Cricetulus griseus: one gene and its partners. The protein of the gene in region 3 binds, or shares a complex with, the protein of the main gene of each other region. Links are inferred from orthologs where the notes say so. Each region holds a gene or a part of one and is shown on either strand. Other genes may lie near its edges.

Region 1 (4,286 bases), on a different chromosome or scaffold from region 3:
TCGCTCATTCAACATTATTTTGTTGAGCACCTACGGAGCTCAATAAATCCTTTAGAGCAGAAAACTGAACAACACAACCGTTTCGATGTGCGAGCAGGAAGGATCTGTACGGAGAGAGAGTACCCTCACCACGCGACTCTCCCGGGGGAGCTTAGCCACAGCTCACTCGGGCCACACTGTGCCTCGGCGCCTGGAACCTCCACCAGTAACGGTGGCGCACTCTACCCTCAAGCCGAGGACCCTCGGGGCGCCCGCATGCCAGGTGCCTCTTTCTCAAGCTCCCCCACCACGCCCCCAGCCCTGGTAGCGTGGCCAAACCCGTCGCACCACGCTCGCCGGACTAGCCCAGGCAGGGCGCCCCCTACCCGCCTCGTCTGCCCTCGCGCAGCTCGGATCCCCGTGGGCTCCGCCCCGGCCGGGGGCCCGTCCCGCAGCCAGGCCGTCCCCGAGGTCTCCATCTCAGCGCTGACCCCGCGGTGCGCCGCTCCCGCCCTCCTCCCTCCAGCGCCAGCGGTACTACCTCCTTGACCGAGGCTCGATCGCAGATCACGATCTCCTCCTTGTCCTTGGGGGTCTTGACGGTGACCCGAATCTGGGGCCTCGTCTCGGCCCCGCTCGGCTCCGCCATGCCGCCACCCGGCCGCCCGCCAGCCCGCCCGGCTCCTCTCCCGGCCCGCCCGGCCCGGCTCGACTCCGGCGCCTCCAACTCCCCCTCCCGCCCCTCCCCAAGGCTCCGCCGCCCCCTCCGGACAGCCGCAGCCACAGCGCCCCGGGCGGCCCGGGGGGGCACTGCAGCTGGGGCGGCCCAGGACCGAGCGGGGTTCGCAGCTGGTCAGGGCAAGCTTCTCCGGAGCCCAGAGGGCGGCGTAGCGGGCGCCGAGCCTCGGCGATGCCCGCGGCTCCCCCCCGATCGGGACAAAGGACTTTCTGTGTCGCCGCCTCATCTCTGTTCCCTGGGGTAACTGGGTTTTCTTAGGAGGCGGAATCTCTGCCAGGCCTGGGGTCGTTCCTGGATCTGGACGCCCTTAACACCTCTGCAGGCATAGCTATGGCCCGAGGGGGCCATCGAGGACATCCAGAGACCTGGAGTTTGCCTACGTGGCTTCTCTGAGCCTTGGGTGTCAAGACTGCAGTACCGCACAGAATTGTGACCATCGTGCAATACTGATTTGAAAAATGGCCAAGGGTGTGCCTAGCAAACACAGATCTTTATTATTATTGAATCGCGGGCTGACTAGTAGGCACGAGGGCGCCCTTTTCGTACAAGGGGTTAAAAGTCCTTCCAACGTCGCCTCTGTCCTTGCACTCCCGCTCTCCACCCCCCCTCCCCGCCTCATGGTCTGGCGAGGAAGCCAAACTATAGTTCCCAGAATTCCTTGAGCGGTCACAAGAAACTATAATTCCCAGCTACCCCCCGCGCGGGGCGGGGATTGGGCCAGAGACTCAGTGGGTAGGCCCGGAGACTACAACTCCCAGGGCGCCTCGCAGGTAGGCTTCTGGGCCACCGGAAGCGGCTGGCGAGCTGCGGCCGGCGGTGACGGGGTGTGTGCCGGTCAGGGTTAGGAGACGCAGGCATGCTGCGTCCCAAGGCTTTGACGCAGGTGCTAAGCCAAGCCAACACCGGGGGAGTCCAAAGCACCCTGTGAGTGCACAACAAGGACCCGAGCGGCGAGCGCTGGAGTGGGGCGGCGCGCGGCTGCCTGCAGCAGGGGTAGGGAAGTAGCCCTCCACCGGGAGGAGGCTGGTCGTATGAGCGGCCGTTTCGGGAACCCTACGTAGGGCTCCCCTCGGAAAGGGAAGTCGACGAGTGCGTAGGGCATGTTCCAGGATATATTCCTAGCAGATCCTGGCTTCCTAAAAGCGCCAGTAGCGGGAACTGGAATAGGAACCCAGGCGTTTCACTCTTGCTGAGTTTGTCGATAATCCTTCTCCATCCTCGCCAGGCTGCTGAATAACGAGGGATCCTTGCTGGCCTACTCCGGTTATGGGGACACAGATGCCCGGGTCACCGCGGCCATCGCCAGTAACATCTGGGCTGCCTACGACCGGAACGGGAACCAAGCATTTAATGAAGACAATCTCAAATTTATCCTCATGGACTGCATGGTATGGAGTAAAGTAGGCTGACCTCGAACTGCAGTGATCATCTTTCCTCAGTCTCCCGAATACTAAGATTGCAAGTGTGCACCCCTGTACCTTGCCAAATAAGTAATACGTAGATATTAAAGAAGGAAGAAAGAAAAAGTGAGAGTAGGGTTCAGATAGATGAAAGGGTGACATTTCCTAAAAGATTGGAGGAAGATTGGAGAGGGAAGGGAATCAGCCATGCAGCGATCTGTTGGAAAAATATTTTTGACAGTATGGGACATGGTTTATGCCTCTAGTCCCAGCACTTGAGAGACTGAGGCAGGCAGGTGGATCTCTGCAAGTATTTCCGACAGAAAAGCAATTGCAAAGGCCTTAGGGTAGAGTGATGCTTGGACAAATGGATACTCCATCAGTAAGGATGGTGTACCACAGAATGAGGAGATAGAGCTAAAGAGGCATGCCTGGTTCCTAGCACCCTGGACAGTGATGGCATGCAGATCCGAAGCAGTTCACCTAAGGGCAAATGCCCCTCAGAAAGCTCTTCGTTGTTATTCAGGCAGCCCTTTACACCACTCCTAACCATTGCTGACTCCTGCTGGGGGCTGAATCTAGAGCTAAAGCTCCAAAGACATTCACTACAGCCCTGCCATAATAAGAGTATTTTAAAGAACTTAGGATGGAGCTCAGTAGTGGAGCTCTTTGGGGTCCTAGATCCATTCTCAGACAATTTTTGTTTTTGAGTCAAAGCCTAATATACACATTGATACACACACCTAAAACAAGTTTCAGGAAACATCACTTTTCTTGCTGCAATGTGAAGTCTGTCTTTTTTTTTTTTTTTTTTTTTTGGTTTTTCGAGACAGGGTTTCTCTGTGGCTTTGGAGCTGTCCTGGAACTAGCTCTTGTAGACCAGGCTGGTCTCGAACTCACAGAGATCCACCTGCCTCTGCCTCCCGAGTGCTGGGACTAAAGGCGTGCGCCACCACCGCCTGGCAAGAGGGTTTTTTTTAAAAATAAGTATTTATTATGTATACAGTGTTCTCTCTGCATGTATCCCTGAAGGACAGAAGAGGGCACCAGATCTCATTACAGGTGGTTGTGAGACACCATGTAGTTGCTGGGAGTTCACCTTTGGAAGACCAGGCAGTGCTCTTACCACTGAGCCATCTCTCCAGCCCTGTATGAGAGGTTTTTTGTTTTTTTTGTTTTTTTTGTTTTTTTTTTTCTTCTCTTTTTTTAATTAATTTTTATTTTATGTTCATTGGTGTTGGGGTCCCCAGGAACTGGAGTTAGTTACAGATAGCTGTGAGCTGTCATGTGGGTACTGGGAATTGAACCAGGGTCCTCTGGAAGAGCAGTCAGTGCCCTTAACCGCTGAGCCATTTTCCCAGCACCCCTTTATGAGAGTTTTTCCCAGGTGTTATATATGTGTACCATGTGCATGCATGGTACCCCCAAGGAGGCTAAAAGAAGGCTTTGGATCCCCTGAACTGGATGCACAATATAGGTGTTGGGAATTGAATCCAAGTCCTCTGCAAGAGCAACAAACAAATTGGGTTATTGTTCCTGGTACCTCACTTGTTGAGACAATTCTTGGCATTAGAGAAGAAAACCCATTTCTGGGAGACTTGGTTTCCCAGAATAACTTGATTAGGAATTGCCTGTGCTGAGGCAGTGTCAGGCCCTTATGTATTAAGAGCTGGGCAAAGCTTCCTAGATGAGTTTCCCGCCCAGCCAGGCTTGAAGACAATATCTCTAGGATCAGAGGAGCCCTGGGGAAGGTAGGAACTAAGGATGCCAAGCAGAATGCCTCAATGTATCATCCCCACTAGGAGGGCCGTGTAGCCATTACTCGGGTGGCCAACCTTCTGCTATGTATGTATGCCAAGGAGACTGTAGGCTTCGGAATGCTGAAGGCCAAAGTGAGTACATTCCTATGTTACAACCTTCCTGGGCCCAGCCATAGTCCCTCTTCACTGTGTCCATTCCCTACATGTACCCCTTTCTGAAATTCTCATATCTAGTCCGTGTCTGAAATGGGCTGAAGAGCAGTGGGGGTGGGCTGGGGTCTGGTTGATGCTCATTGTGGGGCAGGGAGCCAATTTGGGATACCTCTAAGCATAGGCCATGCATGGACTGACATGTGCTTTTCCCTCCTTGCAGGCCCAGGCCTTGGTGCAGTACCTGGAGGAGCCCCT
Region 2 (3,522 bases), on a different chromosome or scaffold from region 3:
CTCTAAGTCACCACATGATGGCTTATAGTCACCTATACTCCAGCCCCAAGGAATCTGATGGCCTCTGTGGGTACTGCATGCACATGGTGCGCACACATACATGCAAGTAACAGCTATATAATAAAATAAAAAGAAAGTCAACAAAAATTATTACAAAGAATAAAAAGCCCTTCCTAATCCAGTCATATTATAGATCATCAGGGGAGCCCAAAGAGCCAAAGTAGTTTTGATAGGAAAGTAGCCAGGCACGGTAGTACATTCCTGTAATTCCCAGATCTGAGCTACATTGTGGGAGGCCCTATTTTAAAAAACCAACAAAATAAAAAACAACAGCAAAATTAGAGATATCAGACTTCCTAATTTCAAAAATTAGAGTGCTGCTACAATAGAAACATGGTGGTAATAGCATGAAGACCAGAATATAGACAGATTCATTCTTCATTCATTATAGATTGAAGAACCCAGAATTAAACCTTCTCATATAGGATTAGTTTCAGTAATAGGGCCAAGACCACATTTAACAAGGAAAAGTGTTAACAACAAAAAGCACATTAAAAAATGTTCTTGAATCCTTATTTTATGCCATATTTAAAAATGAGATAAAAAACCAACCAAACAAACAAAAAAAAAAGAAACATGAAGTAGAGTTAGTTTTCTATGAAGTAGTTGAGTGGAGGTTAGATTGGTAATTGATTTGTTTGTCTAAAATTCCACCTAGTGGAAGAAAACTGTGTATATATGTTTTTAACTACTTGATGTTTTATTCAGAGTGTATATTGAGAAAACATATTCAGATTTTTTGGCAGAGTAAGTTAGCCCTTGGTTATAGGTGATGCATTGGTATTAGAATTTTGAATATGTTTTATTATATTTTCTCATGCAGTAAAAAAAAAATGAGATCAACTTGGATGAAAGACCTATAATATTTAAGAACTAAAACTTTTGTTGCCTGTGTTTTGGTGTTATGTTTACGGAATCACTTTGTCATTCTTATTTTATGTCACAGAAGTTTGTAAATTTAATAGTTTATCTCTAAAGTAGTAGTTATTAGAAAGTGGGAGGAAAGAGGAAAGGAGAAGTTATTATTGGGTAAAGAGTTTGTGATAAAAAAAATTCTCAAGTGGATGGTGGTTATAGTTGTACATTGTAGATATTCTTAATGTCATTCAACTGTGCATTTTAGAATGTTCTGTAATGGGGCAGGGAATATACCCTAGATAGAGTGCTTGTTTCCCATGCACAAAGCCCTGGGATTGATCCCCTGCACCTCTTAAACCAAGAGTGGTGGTACCTGTAATGTCAGCATTTAGCTGGCAGAGACAGGAGAGTCAAAAGTTCAAGGTCAGCCTGGACTTTATAGCAAGTTTGTGACCACCCTGGTATACATTAGACCCCATTTCCAAATAAAAAACATAAAAGCCTAGCCAGGCGGTGGTGGCAAACACCTTTAATCCTAGCACTTGGGAGGCAGAGGCAGGCGGATCTCTGTGAGTTCGAGACCAGCCTGGTCTACAAGAGCTAGTTCCAGGACAGCCTCCAAAGCCACAGAGAAACCCTGTCTCGAAGAAAAACAAACAAACAAACAAAAACCATAAAAGCCTGGGTGTTGGTGTTGCATGCATGAATTTAATCCTAGCACCTGGGGGAGGCAGGCAGATTTCTTTGAGTTTGAGGCCAGCCTAGTCTACAAAGCATGTTCCTGGACAACCAGAGCTATTACACAGACCTTAATAATAGTTAATGAGGTAAATTGTGTTGTCTGTTTTTACATATACATATTCTTCAGCTGACATTTTCTTAAGGCAGTTTTAGTCTAAATAAGAATTATGAATGAGATACATAACCACAACACAATCATTAAACCACTGCATCAATTCAGTTGTGTTTTCCAGTAATAAAACAAGTTTTGGGTTTTGGGGTTTTGTTTTGGTTTGGTTTGGTTTTTCCAAGACAAGGTTTTTCCATGTAGTGCTGGCTGTCCTAGAACTTGAACTTGCTCTGTAGACCAGGCTGACCTCCAATTTGGATGTCTACCTGCCTCTGCCTCCTGAGTGCTGGGATTAAAGTCATTAATTACCACTGGCTCCTTATAAAACAAGTTGTTATCAGACACTTTTAGCAGATCATTTTCATTAGAAAGAACTTTAGTGTTTATTAGTTGATATTTACATTTTTCCTTTCAAACATATAATATCAATTATATGAAAAAATCATCTCTTTTAGGAAACATGTATAAATTAATTGCAATACAAATGTAGGTATTTTTAAGTTTTACTGTTTAGGTTATAAACCTCATTCAGCAAGTTCTATTGTTCCTTCTTTGAACTGTTGTAAACTGTTTTTAACTCAGAGAATATGGTATATACTCACATATATATATATATATTTGAAATATGAGTATGTATGCATTTATCAGATTTGAAATTAAAATGTTTTTAAAGTCTTGTAAATGAGTATTGATGATCACTGTACAACAACTGAAATGCTGGTGAACTGTACATCTAAAATGGTTAAGATGGTAAATTTTATTGCAGTTTAAAAAGAACAATGTGTTTGGAGTTAATCTTTGATATTAACCAGAAACAGGTTTATGCTCCTTTTTGTCTAAAACTGCATACCTAATTTCTTCTGAACATAATTCATGTTGGAATGACCAAATGGAATTGTGCAAAACTTGATGCTCTGAAGTTTGCTAGCTGGGTGTGGTGCTCTAATACAGCACCCAAGAATTTAAGGCCATCCTGAATTATGTAGGGAGTTCAAAGCAAGCCTCAGATACATTACAAAATTCTGTTGTTATCCCTCATGCCCTGTCTCCTATAAGGAAAGGAATTTGACATTACTCAAAAGAATTAGAATTTGTTTGCTGACTAGGTGGCCGAGTGGTTGAAGCGATGGACTGCTAGAATTTGTTTTCTAACAGAGTTTGGTTCTTCCCTAACCACAGTGTGTAATGCACCTTGAAGACCGGTTGCAGGAATTATACTTCAAGAGCAAAATGCTGTCTGAGTACCTGAGGGGACAGATGCGTGTTCATGTCAAGGAGCTAGGAGTAGTTCTTGGGTATGTATGTTCATGGTTTCTTTTCTGGCTTTGTTGTGTCCCTTGTCATGTTCCTCTGATTTGTTGTTTGTTTTTATGTGCCTTTTCCTACAAGAAGCTGTGCCCTACTAGTGTTTACGTTTCTTTTTATCTTAGAAGAGCAGATTTCAAGCCAGGCTGTGGTGGTGCACGCTTTTAATCCCAGCACTAGGGAGGCAAAGGCAGGAGGATCTGTGTGAGTTCGAGGCCAGCCTGGTCTATAGAGCAAGTTCAAGGCCAGGCTCCAAAGCTACACAGAGAAAACCAGAAACAAACAAAAAACAGATTTCTGTCACCCTTAATATAGGTGCACTGACCCTTGCAGTATTCCTGTAGCTTGTCAAGAATATAGGCAGAGGGAATTAAACTTAAATTTTTAATCCTAAAAAAAGTGTTCATGTTTTACTTATTAAATTTGTTTTAGATACATTATTGTAAGCA
Region 3 (4,248 bases):
CTAAGCAATAGTAGAGAGAGAGGCTACCTTAAATGCCTGTCCCCTATAATGAGAATGATGACTATACCTTAAAGGTGGCCACCCTAGAGCCTTCAAACAGTAGCTGATGGAAGCAGAAGCAGAGATCCATAGTTAAGCACTGAGCCAAAGTCCTGGAATCTAGTTTCAGAGAGGGAGGAGTGATGAACAAAAGGGTCAAGACCACGCTGGAAAACCCACAGAAACAGCTGACCTGAGCAAGTGGGAACTCATGGACCCCAGTCTGACAGCTGGGGAACCAACATAGGACCAAACCAGGCCTCCTGAACGTGGGTGTCAGGAGCACTGGGAAGTCTATGGGGCCTCTGGCACGATCTATCACTAGTGCACAAATGGACTTTGGGAGCCCATTTCCCATGGAGGGATACTCTCTCAGCCTAGACACACAGGGGAGGGTCTAGGCCCTGCCCCAAATGACTTAACAGATTTTGATGTTCCCTCATGGAAGGTCTCACCCTCCCTGGGGAGTGGATGGGGGATGGGAGGTGGTGAGGGACATGGGAGGATGGGAGAGGGAACTGGGATTAATATGTAAAATAGGATTGTTTCTAATTTAAATAAAATCTATATATATAAAAAAACCCACACTCATCAACAGTCACTCCCTATGTTCTCTCGCCCTGCTACCAACCGCTAATATGCTTCCAGTTTTTGTGGATTTGCCAGAAATGTATGTATATTGGTCAGGGTCTGATAGGTAGCTCAGGCCTCAGGCTGGCTTTGAACTCGCTATTTAGCTGAGTGGTCTCTGGAGCCCTTCTCTCCAGCCTGCTTTCTCCATCTTGTATCATATTTTCGAGATTCTCACGCTACATTGTATGCCGGGACTTTATTCCCTTGTGTTGATCATATGCTATTGTGTGTATGCACATAATTTAATTACACATTCATATTTGGGTAACTTCGATCTTGAGCCTCCTCAAGACAGAAAAGTAACCTGTGAACAGCAACCCATCGTCTTTCACGTTAGTTTCTCGTTCCAGATTGAAGCGGGACACCTAAGGAGAATTCCTCCTACACCACTACATTGCTCCAGTTTCTGCTCTTCGGCGCTTGAGCCCTGGGCGCACATGCGCACATTCGTAGAGCGGGAGGTGGGGAATGTCCCGCCCCGCCCACTAACTCGCCGACGCTGACTCTCTTGTCGGGTGGGGAAAATGCAACCAATCCGCCAGTGCGTCTAGGGAGCGGCGTTCCACAGTGGTGGATGAAGTCTGATGACGCACCCGCCCTCCAATCGGCACGCGAAGGGCTGGGCTGGCGTCCGCTCGTGAAACCACATGACTCGAGCCTGGGCCGGAAGCTACCTACCCCGTAGCCAGCGCCCCGGGCATCTACGGCTGCGATGGTGAGTGAGGACGCATGCGCGGGCGTGCGCCGCTAGGGTTCCGCATCCCGGTTCCCCAAGCTTCGGTTGCCCCCTTATGGCCCGAACTCCGCTGTCACCTCCTGGGATCCAAAGGGAACGGAGATGGGAGGGATGCGACGGAGAGGGATGGAGAAGGCTCTACCACTGGGTGTTCTGCGGCTGGGGAATAGCCTAGATGGCACAAGGGGTGGAGCACAAGGATCTGGAGCGAGAAGGGCCCCGAGGAGGGACTAGGGGGCTAGGAAGGCCTCCTGGGTCTCCTACGAGCCAAGTGGAAGAGCTCGGGGTCCAGTATGACCGCGGGTGGGGACGCAGTGTTACAAGCCGCTTGGGGGGTGTAGAAGGGCCATATCCCGGAGGAGGATGGGTCTGCAAGGCTGTCACGCGTCTCACCCCTTGCCTCTTTACCCACTAGACTTCCGCACTGACCCAGGGGCTGGAGCGAATCCCAGACCAGCTTGGCTACCTGGTGCTGAGCGAAGGTGCCGTACTGGCGGTGCGTTGTGGGAAAGCGAGGCGTGCGCGCACGGCTCGGGGTGGGACGGGGGGTTGTCCTTTTGGGATACACAGCCAGAAATCCCTTCACATATTGCCCAGTTTGTCCCAGTGGTCTATTTTTGTCCTCTGTCTGGCTCCCTGCTTGAGTAATTAGTGTCTGGAATCCAAGTCTCTTGTTTTATGGTATAAAAGAGGTTTGTTACCAAAGGGCTAGCTGGGTGTGTAGCTCAGTGGAGAGAGTTAATTTGCTTAGCACGCACAAAACCTTGGAAGGTGAAGACAGGCTGAAGTTCAGGGTAATCCTTGGCTACATGTAACCTTGCCTCAAAACATTTTTTACCAACTTTTCTAAAGTCATACAATTAGTTTGCTGTTAACTAATCACTTGGTAGTATGTTTTTATTCAGTATATCTTTAAAACTCACATGGGGTCGCATATGGGTGCCACAGCCGGTGGGTGTCAGAGGACAACCTTCAAGGAGTGAGTTCTGCTTCCAACATGTGGATTCTGAAGCTTGAACTCAGGTCTTCAGGCATTGAGGCAAGCACTTTTATGCTCTGAACCATTTCACCTACCCCTAGAACTTTTTTTTTTTTTTTTTTTTTTTTTTATGGCAAGAATCCTTTAGAGGCAGGAATTGAGCTGAGCTGCAAGGGGCAGAAGGCCGTGAAGGAGGAAAAGCATACTTAGGGCTTGGAACCCTCGACATAATTGCTTGAGTGTGTCTGGCCCTGTCTGGATTAGTTGTGGCTTTCTGTTGAAATGGTTTGAGCAGAAAGAATGGTGTGGTAAGAACCTTACAGTGAAGGACTTCCTATGGCTAGCGTTGACATCTTTAGATGAATCTTGAGTTATTTAAATAAAACATGACTCACTCAAGTGGTTTTACAAGACTGTTCCAGGAGTGTCATCTAGGTAGGAAAGTAGACTGGTAGCAATAAGGAACACGGACAGAACACAGTATCTGTCTTTTAGTGTGTGTCTGCACAAGTGCACAGACATGTGTGCCTATTCATGTGCTGAGGCCGGTACAGAGCATTGGAGTCCTGCTCTTAGCACTCTCTGCCTTATTTCTCAAACCTGGAGCTAGGCTGGCAGCCCTGAGCAAGCCCCAGCAATCAACCTGTCTGTGCCTGTATACTGCTGGGGTTACAAGTGTGGCCATGCCTGACTGGGGATTTGAACTCAGGTCCTCTTGCTTGTACAGCAAGTGTTCTTATTCACTAAGCCATCTCCACAGCCCAGAGAATACATCTTAGAGGTGTTAATATGTGTTGGTAGTAACTAGATGAAAGCACTTTTGCAGGTACATTACTCATCCAGTAAGACTTTGAACTGGGAAGACCAGAAAAATACTATGGTGCCTGAATAAATAAGAACTCAAGAAAGGAATCTGACCAAGGAGGTGGCTAAGGGAAAATTTGATGGCCTGGCTGTAGATACTGAGTTTAAGGTGGACTGATAAACTTACATACAACATTTATTATGGGGTACATAATGCTCTCAATGTTTTCTCATGAAACCTTCACAAGCCCATACATAAAATAGGTCCTGTTCACCCCAATATACAGATGGGGAAACTGAGAGCAAAAAGAACTAAGCCTAGTTAATGGACCCACTTAGAGGTTGTGGGAAGAGAAAATTGAGGCAGTCTGGACTACTGTCCTATCATTTATCCCAGGAGTAGCCTGAGGGAAAGCTTCAAGATAAAGTGGGTGTTTCTGCTTCATAGCGTACAGACAGGACAACAAGTGGGAAGACTGGGAACAGGTGGAGCCTCTAAAGACTGGGCAGTTAGCTCAGAGTTGGGACATCTGCCAGGAATCCTAGGTGAAGGGTTAGTGGTGTGGCTCAGTGGTAGAGCACCTGCTTAGAGAGGCTGGGGGTATGGTAGATCATTTAATGAACACTCCCAAATTTGATTCACAGCATTGATAGCAGTAGAGTTACAAGTAAAAGTTGGTATTTCAGGACAAGGAACAGGATGGCAAAAGGGAAGGCAACACCGTCATAAAGAAGCTTTGGGTAGAATTTTTCCAATGCAGGCAACTTAGGACTATGGGAGGTCTAATGGGTATGGGAGCCTGATGGCCTGTGCCTTGAGTTTGTTCCAAACTCTAGGCTCTTACTTTTTGCCCCTACCCTCCTCCATCCACATGCAGTCATCTGGGGACCTTGAGAACGATGAGCAGGCAGCCAGTACCATCTCAGAGCTGGTCAGCACAGCCTGTGGCTTCCGGCTGCACCATGGCACAAACGTCCCTTTCAAGCGCCTGTCTGGTGAGCTCCTGCTTTTGGTGGAGGTATGGGGAGGGTTGCTTCTACAGGCTTCTCTGCTTAG

Evidence for each region.
Region 1: Lamtor4 (region 3) and Lamtor2 share a complex: the UniProt entries of both Homo sapiens proteins name them as parts of the ragulator complex. The link is inferred for Cricetulus griseus from reciprocal best matches to the Homo sapiens genes LAMTOR4 and LAMTOR2.
Region 2: Lamtor4 (region 3) and Fnip1 share a complex: the UniProt entries of both Homo sapiens proteins name them as parts of the lysosomal folliculin complex. The link is inferred for Cricetulus griseus from reciprocal best matches to the Homo sapiens genes LAMTOR4 and FNIP1.

Annotation. Positions count from the first base shown.
Region 1 is NW_023276806.1:65,955,264-65,959,549, forward strand, and holds the start of Lamtor2 (ragulator complex protein LAMTOR2), read left to right. Parts: upstream 1-1,481; 5' UTR 1,482-1,574; coding exon 1,575-1,642; intron 1,643-1,943; coding exon 1,944-2,106; intron 2,107-3,920; coding exon 3,921-4,010; intron 4,011-4,251; coding exon 4,252-4,286. Other genes in the region: Ubqln4 (ubiquilin-4), read right to left, coding at 521-628. UniProt on the Homo sapiens protein: As part of the Ragulator complex it is involved in amino acid sensing and activation of mTORC1, a signaling complex promoting cell growth in response to growth factors, energy levels, and amino acids.
Region 2 is NC_048600.1:68,689,412-68,692,933, forward strand, and holds part of Fnip1 (folliculin-interacting protein 1), read left to right. Parts: intron 1-2,947; coding exon 2,948-3,063; intron 3,064-3,522. UniProt on the Homo sapiens protein: Binding partner of the GTPase-activating protein FLCN: involved in the cellular response to amino acid availability by regulating the non-canonical mTORC1 signaling cascade controlling the MiT/TFE factors TFEB and TFE3.
Region 3 is NC_048597.1:116,737,354-116,741,601, reverse strand, and holds the start of Lamtor4 (ragulator complex protein LAMTOR4), read left to right. Parts: upstream 1-1,426; 5' UTR 1,427-1,463; coding exon 1,464-1,556; intron 1,557-1,817; exon of another isoform or gene 1,818-1,823; coding exon 1,824-1,904; intron 1,905-2,313; exon of another isoform or gene 2,314-2,405; coding exon of another isoform or gene 2,406-2,447; intron 2,448-4,069; coding exon 4,070-4,187; intron 4,188-4,248. UniProt on the Homo sapiens protein: As part of the Ragulator complex it is involved in amino acid sensing and activation of mTORC1, a signaling complex promoting cell growth in response to growth factors, energy levels, and amino acids.